Mytilus edulis: one gene and its partner. The protein of the gene in region 1 purifies or fractionates together with the protein of each later gene. This does not show direct contact. Links are inferred from orthologs where the notes say so. Each region holds a gene or a part of one and is shown on either strand. Other genes may lie near its edges.

What was found. The genes of interacting proteins can lie anywhere in the genome.
Region 2: the proteins of SERPINE1 mRNA-binding protein 1-like (region 1) and RNA-binding protein FXR1-like purify together in Drosophila melanogaster (affinity purification with western blotting; 4 studies listed by BioGRID, with this or other methods). This does not show direct contact. The link is inferred for Mytilus edulis from reciprocal best matches to the Drosophila melanogaster genes vig and Fmr1.

The regions. Positions count from the first base shown.
Region 1 is NC_092344.1:122,518,568-122,525,900, reverse strand, and holds the start of SERPINE1 mRNA-binding protein 1-like, read left to right. Parts: upstream 1-4,318; 5' UTR 4,319-4,732; coding exon 4,733-4,958; intron 4,959-6,862; coding exon 6,863-7,007; intron 7,008-7,333. Other genes in the region: uncharacterized protein, read right to left, coding at 3,946-4,201.
Region 2 is NC_092346.1:88,448,890-88,456,513, forward strand, and holds the start of RNA-binding protein FXR1-like, read left to right. Parts: upstream 1-4,596; 5' UTR 4,597-4,942; coding exon 4,943-4,993; intron 4,994-7,624. Other genes in the region: WD repeat-containing protein 44-like, read right to left, coding at 923-968, 4,538-4,596. UniProt on the Drosophila melanogaster protein: Polyribosome-associated RNA-binding protein that plays a role in neuronal development and synaptic plasticity through the regulation of protein synthesis of mRNAs.

The sequences.
Region 1 (7,333 bases):
GGTACAAAACGACTGGGACAAATGTTCAGGATACAGACCGAATGTCACAATGTTCAGGGTACAAACCGAATGTCACAAATGCTTAGGGAACAAAACGACTGGGACAAATGCCAAAGGTACAAAACGACTGCATGGAACAAATGCTCAAATCAAGCATGACTGGGACAAATATTCAAGGTACAAAACAACTAGGACAAAAGCTCAGGGTACAAAACGACTGGAACGAATGGTCAAGGTACATAAATTTAAGACTAGAACCAATACTTTATGTACAATTGCTGAAGGTACAACACGACTTGGACAAATGTTCGGTGTACAAAACGACTGGAACAAATGTTCAAGGTATAAACTGGCACAAATGTTCCAAGTACAAAACGACTTGGTACTACATTCGATCAATGTATTAGTCCCAAAAAATGAGGATAACAAAAAAACACTGACCTACCCTATAATCATTTGTTTAACGGTTTTAATATGTTTCTGATATAAGACTGTGTAATGTTATATAAAAAAAAAAGGAGATGTGGTTTAATATGAAATTAAGGAAGGTGGTGTGATATACAAACAGGAGAAGTGGTAGGATGGCCTATGTGACAACTATATCCAACAGAGTACAACAAAGTGTATTTAAGCATGCATTCAAATATGAATATGTAGGTCACCATAGTTGATGCGACCTTCAAAACCATGTTGTAAAGTCTGCTATAAAAGGCCCCGACATGACAAAATGTGAATAATTTCAAACGGGGGGAAAACGAACAGATTTATAACCAAACTAATAAACGAAAAAATATTTTCTTTGGTATTTATTTTTAGCTTTTCTGATCGGATCCTATGAAGCCCTATGAAAGGTGGTGTTGCAAGTTTTATATCCTTTTTTAATGCAAGCATGTATATTGTGTAATCGTGATGCTAAAAATAATTTTAGTGAGCCTAATGTTTGAGTGTGTGCAATAACGGGCATGTAATTGTTAACATTTCAGAATTTTGTAATCTTTTGTTAGTAATCCGAACAGATACCCTGCGAACTGCGTGTTCAAAGGAATAAATGTACACCACACACTTGACAAAAAACTCCAGAACAATAACGGTTCAGCTAACTATATCTTCCATTGTCCTTGGCCTATCCTGCTTAATCACTCGTAAACCTTACTTAGTCATACAAAGGCCATTCAAAAATACACAAATATTACTTGATATTTTACTTCAATATTTTAGTTAGTAAAATATCATAAACCTCCAGCCTAAAATCAATTCAATGTTCTTCCATTTCAACTTTTTATACGAACATCCAGTAAACCAACTAACTTTAAGATTCTGTTTACCGAACCATGAGTCATTAGAATTGAACTAAATCTGCACAATTATAAATATAAAAAGATCAAATAAAAAGGTAAACTAAAAAGAAAGCCGAAAAACTAAACAGAATGTGAAATTGCAGTAATATCAGTTCAACAAAATAACGGAGTTTTATTTGCTTTCCAGTTGACTGGGCTACGACCTATTTATAAATTGGTTTATTAAACAATCCAACTTTTCAAACTTCAATAAATATTGACCAACAGTATTGCATAACATCTTGTCGAGAACAAATTCTGTAATACAGGTAGTTATATTCCACGAAACTACGTCACCTGTAAAACATTTCCACGAAATTACGGTTCATTTCGCAAGAAGAAATGGCTCAGTACAATAGCCCTGATGAAATTAAAATTATTTTCATACTTTATTTACCTATTAGTGTTGTAACAGTATAGACACATTTTAATTGATTGCTAACAGTAAAATCATGTATCCCGTTAAGAGTACAATTATACGCTATTATAAAGAGCTTCGGGGCTATACACATAAGCTATCTATTTAGGGGGGAAAGATAGAAAGTCCACGACTCCGAATACATGAAAATAGTTTTTAAAAACCAACAACACAAGAATACAAACTTATGTTGTCTTCGTCTTAGTCCGGTGTTTTAGGTGTCCGTTTTATATACGTTTAAGACGTTTTGCTACCTAAAGCATCAAAACCAGAATACACTGAAATGGTTAATGGAAGCAAAAATATACTTTAGAATCCCAAAGGGAGAGCAGGGATACAATGTAAGCTTTCGTGGTGTTTTTTTCACATCTCTTGAATGAAAATAAAATGTATCTTGAAAATGTTCGACTGTCTAAAGTATAATAAATGGACATTTCATATGACATTTTGTACCTATTAAAGAGACAATGTTTTGTAGTTTGGGCAACCTCAAAGACTAAAGATACATGTACAGTGTACCTACGGTTTCTTATATCAAGTTATTAGTCTTTCAAAATGCCTAATGGGTCTCAATAACACAAGAGGCAAATATCGAAGGCATTGTCATATGCTGATTTTGTTCTGTTTAATTATTTAGGGTAATGTAATTTTTTTTTCTTCACTGGATCAAACTTTTGAAAGTTACAATAAAAAATAACAAGGTCCTAGTATTGCCCACTTTCAAATTCGTTTTTCATCGGCAATAAATAAAACAGACGGTCAGATGAGGAAAACACATAGTATAAGAATGTTCACCCCTCCCCCTTTCCCGTCGACATCTATTATTTTATATATAGTATAAAACATCGTGTGGGACTAGTGATCACGGGTTAAAACTGACGAAATGGAACAAGTTTTGACAATCAAAAAGTATAACATGCTCGGTATGTTTAAAATATGCTGACAACATACGGATCTTATTTGTGTATTGGTCTGTGACCAGCCTTCCGGGTATATATGATGTAGAATTTATAAATAGCTTGATGAGGGAATACCCTTTTACTCCAATAAAAACTTTTAAATGGACCTTCTCGGCTGCTGAAAACAAAATTAAAAGGTATAATAATAGGATTTAAATGTCTTTACACGTGCTCTAAAATTTAAATGTCTCTGAAAGTGCAACTTTCGGTTTAAAAAGATATTGAGCATTTAAATTTTTATTTGTACCTCAAAACATACGGTGATAAATTTAAATGTCCCAAATGATGAATTTAAAGGCTTGAAATATTGAAAATTTCTAACATTTGTTGGGTAGAATTTGGTGAAAGAAAGACTAAGTACGGGAGTGAAAAATAACACCACTAAAATCAGGTAAGACGATTTACACAGGTAAAATCCGTGATCAATATAGGTGTAATACTGGGACGCGTTCAAACACATCTCTTGTCTTTGTAAATAGGTATTTTGTGTTGTGTTTGTTTATTTCGTTGTTGCTAAAGAAACCCGTTACAAATGGATTGAGACAAAGTGCTCTTTAGTGGTTTAACATGCGTGTAACGGGACCTCGACCATGACGAAAAGAAAGGGGCGGGACTTTGTTAAAAACCCAGGTAGCATGTTAAAGCTTGAAGATAATGGTGTACTGTTTGATCTCCTATTACCTGTCTGCTTGACGACACAGTGGATCAACGATTGATCGATCGGCCATTTAAATATCACCCCAATTAAATTTTGATTGGAAATATTCGTACATGTAGTAGATTTAAATTGGAGGTTTAAATGTCTGCAACAAATATAGATGTAAACAAAGATTAATATTAATAACATTACAACGTGGTTTGCACTTCACAAATATTATATTCCTGATTCTACTTTTCATTTCATTACCTGTCAACCTTTTACCGTATTAAATTACATTTGTTACATAACTTCAACTGTACATGTTTATACTTAAATGGTCGATCAATGTACCGTAACTATTCCAACTGTAGCAATTGAATAATTTCCAATCAGTACCCTCTTCTGAAAACATTGATGTTTATGGTAACAATAAATTTAAATTCCATGGAACTGTCAAATAGTTGCTTTGAAAGTCAAGATTTTTTCTGATTTCAAAAGTTTGACACTTTTTGGTTAGTATATAAATAGTCAATTATCAACATATAGGATACAAATTTTTTTTTCAATGAGTAAAATAAAATAAATACTGACCTGTATGCGTTCTCATATGAGCTTGGAGAGATTTTTCTCGAGGAAAAACCCGATTACACACATGACAACGTATTCCACTATGGGACACTGCACCTTTGAAGATCAATGAAGTGATTAGCTCGGCCCTCGGACGTCCTCTCTTCATATAATCTTCCAAATCAGCTGAATCTTCATCAGGGGAATTCCTATCCATATTTGATGCTGGTTCAATTATAGATTCTGGTTTACTTTCATCTTTAAATCCCCACGACGGCATGGTTAAATCACTTCTTTACCTTTCGTTGTGTCACCCTTGTTCATAGGTATTTAATTCTTACCTGTATAAACCCGTTATCGTGCCAACTGAACTCCACCAATCGGGTATGTGGTATAAAAATAGATTTAAAAAAAGGATTTCGTGGTTTCCCCGTCGTTGCTATGCATTGTGGGATATAAATTACAATTTCTTAAAAACACTTTAGTTATAGGCTGAATTATAATATGCATGAAGACTTTAGTTATTCAATGTACTCTTAAATGTTTAAACTGCGAGAAAACTAGTGGCAAAACAGAGGCTATAAAATTTCTATGACTTACTCCCGCCAAATTTCTAAATATGGAACTTGAAAACAACCTTGAACTGTCGAGACTCTCGGGTTTTTATGTTACAACTAAGGAAGGATTTTTCCTCCGAATATTCTAATTCCAAAGCATGCTCATACTGTCTGGAGAGAAACACGCCATTTTGTAGCACCTTAAAAAGTAAGGCCGTAAAAATCCATTGCCATCCTCAGCATCAAGAGGAACAATGGACTCGCAATACGGCATAGCAGTGACTAATAAGTTCTGTCTTTTTGACGACGATGATGATGTCGATCCATATGAAATCCTGAAGCAAGAGGAACAGAAGAGAACCGAGGCTTTAGCGAAGGAGAAAGCTGACAAGTCCAAACCAACTAAAAAGACAAAAAAGACAGCACCACAAACTGATAACAAGACTAAATTGACAGAGCAAAACACACAAAAGAAAGAAGGTAATAATTCTATCGTGCAGAAATGATTATTTGCATTGTCTTGATTGTTTATTAGGTAACCCGTTTGACATTTGTTCACAGATAACACGCTTGAAGTCCAAAATACTTCGTTATATTTGTTTCCCCCCTCCACATTCACGTGTATATGTATGAAAACTGGTTACCATCTGTACCAGATGATAAATATATATTTTGCAATGATGTTGAAGTTATGTTTATCATGTGGTCTTGACCATGTTTGGTTATGTAGTTTACTAGTTATGTTCCACCATGTTTTCTGATCCTGAACCTACTTCTATTATATTAAGGACAGTCTTGCAGGGAAATACGGTTGTATGCAACTTAAGGTGGGGTACAAAACAAATGAAGGTTTTTGTAGTTTTTGGTTGTAAATACTGTGACGCAACATGGTAAAAAAATATTGCAATTGATTAAACATGCAACTCTTCTGATCAGCTGCTTCTGATGCAGATATAGATTTTATAAATTTAGCTATTTTTGATTGTCTAAATTGCTAAATCTCTGTTAAATGAACTGATGGACAAGAAACCAGCTTTTGCGAAAGACCACAAAAAAAATGAAATTTATATTAGAACTGCCAGAAAACTGCACTTACATTACCAGCTTTTCAGTCACATGTAGCGGGGTTGCTTCCCCTTAGTACAGGTAGAACATATATAGCCAGTCTTAATCAACTGAGCTAGGGAATCGATTCTTTGGCTCAGTGGGTTAACGCACTGACTGTCACCCAGACGACCGGGGTTCGAATCCCGGTGGTGACGATTCGATACGATACGTGCTCTCCGGTTACATTGGCGCCCAACTAAAAAAATCCACGATGGTTATCTGGAGTATAGCCAGGGTTTGTGTTGTTAAGAGTCATATATGAAGATATGATGACTCTTGTGGTGGGGGAATAGTGTAGCGGGGTTGCTTCCCCTTAGTACAGGTAGAACATATATAGCCAGTCTTAATCAACTGAGCTAGGGAATCGATTCTTTGGCTCAGTGGGTTAACGCACTGACTGTCACCCAGACGACCGGGGTTCGAATCCCGGTGGTGACGATTCGATACGATACGTGCTCTCCGGTTACACACACAAACAAAAAATAGTTGAGTGAGATCAAATTATATTTGTAAGTAAATTTGCATTATACTACAACAAAACCATTATAGTTGTGGGCTAAACTGTTTAAAAACAAAAATGAGAGTAAAGTAAAAAAAAACAATTCTTTTCCAAATTGCATTTTTATGCCTCATTTATGGGCATTATGTTTTCTGGTCTGCGTCCGTTTGTCACGTTTCAGGTTAAGTTTTTTGGTCGAGGTAGTTTTTGATGAAGTTGAAGAGAAATCAACTTGAAACTTAGTACACATGTTCCCTATGATATTATCTTTCTAATTTTAATGCCTAAATGGGGATTCCCATTTTCACGGTCCACTGAACATAGAAAATGATGGTGCGATCCGTGTACTGGGGACAGTTTAAGGAAGAATTTTAGTAATTTTGTTTCCACTCTACCACACATGTATCCAGTACTATTCATGCAATGTGTAAGCTAAGAGGAAGTTTTTTGTTGATTTGAATTTGAGCTTTAGACCCATAGTTATAAAAGAGGGACGAAAGATACCAAAGGGACAGTCAAACTCATAAATCTAAAACTGACAACGCCATGACTAAAAAAAGACAACTTTGTTTATGGTATTGGTGGGCACACAAACAAAAGAAAGTAACTATGTAGGAATACCTTTAATAGATAATTCATTTCAACCAGGCCTAATAAAAAAAATTGAGCCTTATAATGGAAAAAATTTACAAGATCCCCTATTCTTGGGATTGTTCATTTTGAAATTTCAGAATTTATCATTGTATGTTTTATAAGACAGTATTTATTACAATTACAGAAAAGGTGGTCCCATCCCAAGCGAGGACTCAGCAAAATGAAAGGCCTCCAAGGAGTGCTAGACAGAACAGAGAAAATAGAGAACCAAGGGAAGACAGACGGCCAAGAAGACCTGAAGAAAACTCATCTATGACTAATGAACCAAGGTATAAGAAATAGATTATTATCGTTGATCATCTCATCATCGAGATTGATTTTCTCACTTAAGTCTGTATAGCGAAATTTAGAAAATCAATCAAGTTGAGATGACCAATTATAATCTGTTAGTCGCTATTTAACCTATGAGGTCAGAGGATGTTGTTAATTTCGTTGACAACAGGCATATATACTCCCTTAAATTCTAGCCATAATTTTTCATATCGCTCGACTCCATTGGAAGGAAATTATCAGTCAGTAAGATAAAAGAATATTTAGTATTATTGTATAGCAATATATTATTTCCAACAGAAAGTAACCAAAAGTTAGCGTGCAA
Region 2 (7,624 bases), on another chromosome or scaffold:
ACTTACTGACTAGTAAATACATGTACATTTTCAAAGGATACCATTTTTTTGCCTGGCTATATGTCTTAATTGTATCAAATTCTTAGGGTGGAATTTCAAAATATTATACATGTAGATGAGGATATTGAGAAGGGTATTTATTACCTTACACTTGCAAATTGACATTTACATATAATAATTAAAATATACAATTGTAAATTGGATATACATGAAAATTATCTATTGGACTTGTGGAACTTAAGGCTTGCATCTTTCTACAAATTTTATGACCTTGACTTTTTAGCTTGCAATTTTAATCTTTTTCACAACTCTTCTTCAAGTAGTGGTGAATGCTCATAGTAGTGTTGAACACTCATACCAAGCTTATGTATTATTACCTTACTCCTTCAGGTATTCAAAGTTTATGAATCTGGACATGAGGCATTGTAAGGTTTGTGAAGTTTGGTGGGGTTCATGTTGCTCAGTCATTAGTTTTCTATGTTGTGTTTAGTGTACTATTGTTTGTTTGTTTATCTTTTTCTTTTTTAGCCATGGCGTTATCAGTTTATTTTCCACTTATGAGTTTGAATGTCCCTTTGGTATCTTTTACATCTTTTTTAAATTATTCATTTGACCTTGATCATTAGGCTAAATGTAGGTCATTGTAAACCTTCTGGTAGTTGTAATTATTAATAAATAACATCACCTTTTTACTCCAACGAGTATAGAGTAGACAGGATGTATTGAAAACACAAACTCACTATATAGGATGACTTCCAATGCTGGTTGAGCATTAAAGCTAGTATTAATATGGTTGATTGATGGGTGTATTGCACTGCATCAGAGCAAAAAGTCTTTAGAGTGTTGGCCATTAATATTAATAGAATACAAGTTTGACTAAACAATGAAAATAAATAGTCCCAAATTTAAATGTATTACTTACAGAAAACTTCTCTAGTGCATCTTTCAATGAATTCTTCTGAACATACCTTAAAAAAAGAATTCATGTGCAATTTAACTATGTGCATGTACATTTTTTGTACATTTACTTTAAATATGTATACCCGTATTTCAAGTTGGAATTAAGAAAATTTTATATATTTTTCAGGTTGGATGATCATTGATGTATAAGCCAAGAAGCAGAGCCAATGTCTACATGCAATATTGAGACACTAGAGGAAAAAGGACACAGCTTTCGTCTGACATTGGGTTCAATTTAGTGGTGGTTTGAGGTCTGGGACCTACAAATGTATCAAGTTTACGGTTGGACTTTAGTGGTGGTTCGAGGTCTGGGACCTATCAAGTTTACGGTTAGACTTCAGCAGTGGTTTGAGTTCTGGGACCTATCAAGTTTACGGTTGGACTTTAGCAGTGGTTCGAGATCTGGGACCTATCAAGTTTACGATTGGACTTTAGCAGTGGTTCGAGGTCTGGGACCTATCAAGTTTACAGTTGGACTTTAGCAGTGGTTAGAGGTCTGGGACTTAACAAGTTTACGGTTAGACTTTGGATACGGTTATTATTGCTTCACCTGAGGGACTTACCGGTAAGTCTTCAAGTTCCAGAAAATAGATGATGAATTTCTTTATGAAACACTTTGTTATAACTTGTAAATTGATGTGGTAATGAGTCACGATAAAATACTTTTGCATACCTGCCAACTTTTGAAAGTGCCCATGGGGGTTTTAGTGCGCGACAACAATTTCAAAGGTTACAATACTTTGCGACGACTATTTTGCGCGTGCTGTTTTTGTGGTCTAGAAAAAGTGTCATATTTGTAAGACGAACTTACATGCTTTTTTCTTAAATTTATTTGCATGATTCTAGTTATTACATATCAGTAGAAAAGATGAACATGTGGCTGCAAGACCAAGAATTAATTTCATGTGTAAGGATATTAAATAATTGTTGACTTTTCCAATTTAAAATTGTGCACAAAGAAGGACCTTTATCAGGTTGGGAACAACACCTAGGGGTAACCCCTCAATGTTAGGACATTATAAACCACTTTTTAGGTAAAAATGAGCACATATTCATATTATTTGAAGAAACTTTTCCCAAAGAACTATTATAATACATCTTATGATCTATCTGGTATTATATGGTCAACACATGTCCATGATGTCCAAGAATTTTGATATGTTCTTGGCCTTATATCTTCTTTATTTTTCAAAATAATTAGACCCTTCATTTAGAAAAGTTGTTCTAAATATAATGTCAGAATTTCCGATTTTTAAGTTAAAAAATCTACATTTAATGATTTTTCTATTTTATTTTTTACAAGAGTAAAATAACCCCTTGACTAAGGAAAGTCCTTCATTTAAGAGGTTCCTCGTGTGGGGGGTTTTGTTTTGTCCATGTGACAAATAAATAATAGTACATTGTACTTTAAATAATTTGGTAATTTAATTGAATACATAAATTTATAACATTTGTTACAGCAAGTGTAATGTCAATGAATTAGTGAACAAATTACTATTTATTATCTTTATGGTAGTACTGCATCATTGAAGTTTGTCAATCAGTCATGCTTTTATTCTTATTCTGTGTAAGAACCTCCTTTTAGGTGAAAAACCATTTGCCATGTTCACGATTTTAACAAACAGAGGAATACAACACAAGTTCAAAATCTAGAATGTTAGAATATTCTTGAGAGAAAACTTTTTTGATTGGCTGATTAATTTGATCATGAGAAACATAGAATTTGATTGGCTGAACAAAATTGTATTCCATTTGACACAGTTCAAAATCGGGAACAATCATATTTTTCGTGTAGATTTTCACAAAATCGTGTTTAAGAGGGTTTTTCACGATCACGATCGTGCAATCGTGACAAAGGGTCAAAATCGTGTAGTACACGCCTAAATCGTGAAAGTTGGCAGGTATGCTTTTGTGATAAAATTTATTTTTAACTTGATGATCTACTTCCTTGTTCATTAATAGTACAGCGTGCCTCAGATGACAATTTTTATGGGTGCTTTTGTAGAGGTCTTTGTTCGCCATATTGTTAATGCATGCGGTTGTCAACATTGTATAACGATAAGAAAATGAGTGTTATTGTTGAATTGCAGGTTCAACATATTTTAAAATATGAAGTTATTTTCCGTGATAACTTTAACTTTGAATGTCATGGCGATTTTATTTTTTGTTAGTTCATACACAGAATATCTAAATAAATATTTACAGTCCACTGAAACCTATAAAATTTAACTCATCATAATGACTTGATTAATCAAATCATTAGTCTATAATTGGTTTGTTTATTCAACAATTGTCTGATGATTGTGAACTAAGGTAATGCCACTTGTAATCACTTAATTAAATCAAATCCTGAATATCTTTATATTCATTCCTTATAAAAATATTTTTTATTGGGGACGGATCAACTTTACATATGGGCTGGATCAACGTGGGGCCAGATCGACTTGGGACGGATCGACCCGAAAGCTACCATCAATGACATCATGGACTTGGGGTGGATCGACCTGAAAGCTACCATCAATGCCATCATCAGTTAAACATACATTCATAATTTCATTCCTTATAAAATTGTCATGTCATAATTTAATTTCATTTTGAATATATATATATAAATGTGACACCTTTAGTAAAAGATCAATAACCTGGTATAAGTATTGTTTATTTAGAAAAAAAACACAATACTGGTACAATACTGGAATACAATACTGGCACAAAATTTTTATACCAGTATTGGGTATCAGGTCCGTTCGCGCCCAATACACTTTCGCACCCTACACGTTCGCACCTTGCACGTTCGCACCCAAGGTCCGTTTGCACTCTAAACGTTTGCACCCAATTTTAATTCAAATTCCAGTTAAATAATTGGAAAAACATGACTGTTGTTTTAAATTGCTTAAGTGTAAATACTGAATGTATTTATAACTTGGTTTGAGTAAAACAATGAAGATTTTAAATGAAAAACACAAAAGATAATTGTTTTTAACAGCTTGGTCCCTCTTATAGATCTGAAACAATGAAACAATAAAATATAGCAATACACAAATTATAAGTTAACCAAAACATGATGAAATTTATTCAACACGCAAAAAAAATAACCGTAGTCAGAATCTCATTTTATTTTGAAACAAGTCAGTGGAACAAAGTAACCAAAACATGATTAAGAGTTATTCAACACAAAATAAAACTTTGACAGAATCCCACTCATGACTATATTTAGAAAGGATTATTATTTTTTTAACAATACATTTTCTGAAACATGATTAAGATTTATTCAACACAAAAAAAAATGCTGTCTCACTTTATTTTGAGACAATGACAACAATTATACTTATAAGAATACAGTTGCCAAAACTTGATTACAAAAATATTAAACACAAAACCAATTAAAATTGGGCGCGAACATGTAGGGTGCGAACATGACTTTGGGTGCGAACATGTAGGGTGCGAACATGAGTGGGTGCGAACGTGAATGGGCGCGAACGGACTCAGATTCCCAGTATTGCGATAACCAACTACACTGATAGTCACTGTACACAAATATTTAAGGATTTTTTTTTCTGATTTTCTTAATCCATACCGCTTTGGTGTTGCTTCCTCTGCGTCATAAAATTCTTCTAGTTCACTATCGGACGACATTTTGTCACCTGAAGTGGACAGAAAACATTATTTACTGATATCTACAAATGAGTGTTGTCATTTCTGCCAAAATAATCCAAAAAAGGAAGTGGCAAAGTCTTTCTCGGGGTTTATTATAAAGTCAATGGAAAATTCCGAGACAATCCGAATAACTTAGATTTTTGGAAATGCTCCCTGAAAGTCGATGTTCCGTACTTTTTTCGTTCAGACTATAGTTTAATCTTGACAAGAATTGATGAGTTTCGGCCACAAACTTCTATTCTATTGCATTTTAACTTCAGGACTGTGTGAAATATAAAGAGAGCGTGGAAAATACTTAAATTTCCCATCATTCCCTGTGTTCAAAATGGAAAACCTTGTGGTAGAAGTTTGCGGGGCAAATGGAGCATTTTATCAGGTAAAATATTGTGTCAAACAATGAGTATTTGTTGAATTCTGAAGAAAAAAATATCAGATACCTACAGAAGGAGCATATTGACCCTTTTATTGATATGTCTTAAAAAAAAGGTGTCCACAATATACATGACAAGTTTCACTTTCACTTGTCAACTTTTATGAAACTGAAACTTGTACTTTCGATTTACAAATTTCAGAAGGATAAAGATCAGTTTTTTTGCTATTAATTGTTTTGTAATTTTAATATCGAATTTGATTTTAGCAATTAGGTTAGAATGTTTTTCAAATGAGTCATTTTGTCTTATCATGATCTTTGTAGCTTCTCAGCTACAGTAAACTTTGATTGATGGAATGATAAAAGCATGAGTAGTGTGTTAAAGTGTATTTGTTATTGTATATAAAAGTTTACCTGCTTTTTATGAAGGATGAATTTTAATTCAGTAGTTCTAAGTACACTGTTTTAAGGTTAAACACAATTACATAAATCTAATAGTTGAAGCATCAATATATTTAAAAAGTCTTGCAGTACATTTTTAGATATTACTTAGATGTTTGATAAAAAAAAAATGAATAAAACCATAGGATGAAGCTTTAAAGCCCTGAGGCATTACTGATTAGCTGTCCAATTTTTGTTTACCACAAAAAATGTATTAAAACGTATATCTTAATTAGAAAAAAGTATAAACAATTTTCAATTCATAGCCATAGGATCAACAATATGAATGTTAACATGTAACAGCACTTAGTATGTATTTTAGTTTAGTTGCCATCTTATTAACCATTGTGGTGACCTCTGAAGACTAAGAACTCACATTATTTGATGCATGATACATGTATAAACATTAATAAAGATTGACATTTTTTTCCTTTTTATATACAATGATACAAAAATGTATAACAACTGAAGAATGATTGTGTTACCCATCTCTTGTTAATTTGGACAAATTATAACCAAACTGACTTTGATGATTGAACAAAAAAAATATATTTCATTTTTTACATATATATATTTCATAGATAGTCAAACTATAATGGTGATTGGTAGCCATTCATATTAAGTTGAATAATTGTCTGACAGCTGTAATTTACTTGTTCAGATGACAGGTTAAAAAGTTTTTCCAGAACATCTACATTTTACATGTACATATGTATCATGTCAAATGTGACCATCAGTCAATTTTAACTTTCAAAAATTTCAATGGTTTGAATCTTTGAGATTTAGTCCAAAAAAATTGACTCTATCAGATCAGCAACATAAGGTAAAACTGAAAAGATGATGAATTTTAAAAAAAAATGGCATTAAAGATTTAAAAAAAAAGAATCATCAGAACCAAGTTTTTTAAACTAATGCACAAGTGCTTATGTGCACAGGTGTGTGATTTTATTAACAGCACAGCCCATGTAACCTTTATGAATGTAATACTGAAAAAGCAGAAATTTTCGTGGAGAATTTAATTTAGTTTATTTTGTGGAAAGAATATATCCATGAAATTAAAGCCCCCACGAAAATTTAACATACATATAATACCACTTACATTTAAGCTAGGATATCACAAAATTAAATCCCCATGAAATCTTACAGAGCGACGAAACCACGAAATTTTAACCCCACAAAAATTAAGGTTTCTATCTTTACAGTACTGAGTAGTAATGCACATCAACTTTCAATTCTAGGAAATATAATTTGTTACTAAAATTCATAGTAAAAGTTGCACAGTTTAAGCCATCAAGGTAGTTCTTACAGGAAATTGTATTGTCTATATATGTATATAAATTTACAGAAGTGCAACATACAGGTTTCATACATTTTAAGATAGAGTTGTGTCCCTTGTTCATTTAATTTTTGAATTTATTTGTGAAGTGTTTTTATTGTCTCTATAATAATAATAGAGGTCTTTACAATACTATTCAAAGAACATGATTTTATGAACCATGAAAATCTCATACATGAAAATGTGTTTATATCCAAAATACTGTATTTACAAGTCTCAATGCAAGTGGGGCAGACCATATGGGCACTGTAAATTTGTTTGTTTAGTTCATGAGATTAAAGATTAATAAGTTCTGAATTAAATCTACTAAATTTACACATTTGTTAAAGCAGCAGGGACAATATAGTTCTCTTAATAAACTTAAGTTGATTTAGGATTATTTCTTTTACTTACAATGTATTTATTTGACCGCAAAAAAATGCTGCCTTAATGGTATGGTGATGTCATAGTCGTCATATGAAGACATTTGGTTTCCAGACAATAACTTAAGTATAAGTGCACAGATCTCTGTGAATTTGTTCCACAAGGTTCCATACCACAAAAGGAAGTAGGGAATTGATTTGAGGGGTTAAGGCCCTAACTGTTTTAAGAATTGTCGGCAATTGTTAATCTTTTTTTTTAGAAAAAAAGTTTTTTACTAAGTTGCTTGATCATGTTCATATCTATAACAGTTAAAAAAAAAATACTAAAATGATTTTAAAAAATAGGTATTTTCTTATTCAAGAAAAAAAAACATTTTCTCATGTGCCATAACAGTCTGCACAGTTAGCCAGCCACAAGTCTGGTGCCCCAGACTAGTAATTTTTTTTTTTTTTTTCAACAAATAAATATTCTTTATTCTTCAAATTGCTTGTTACAAC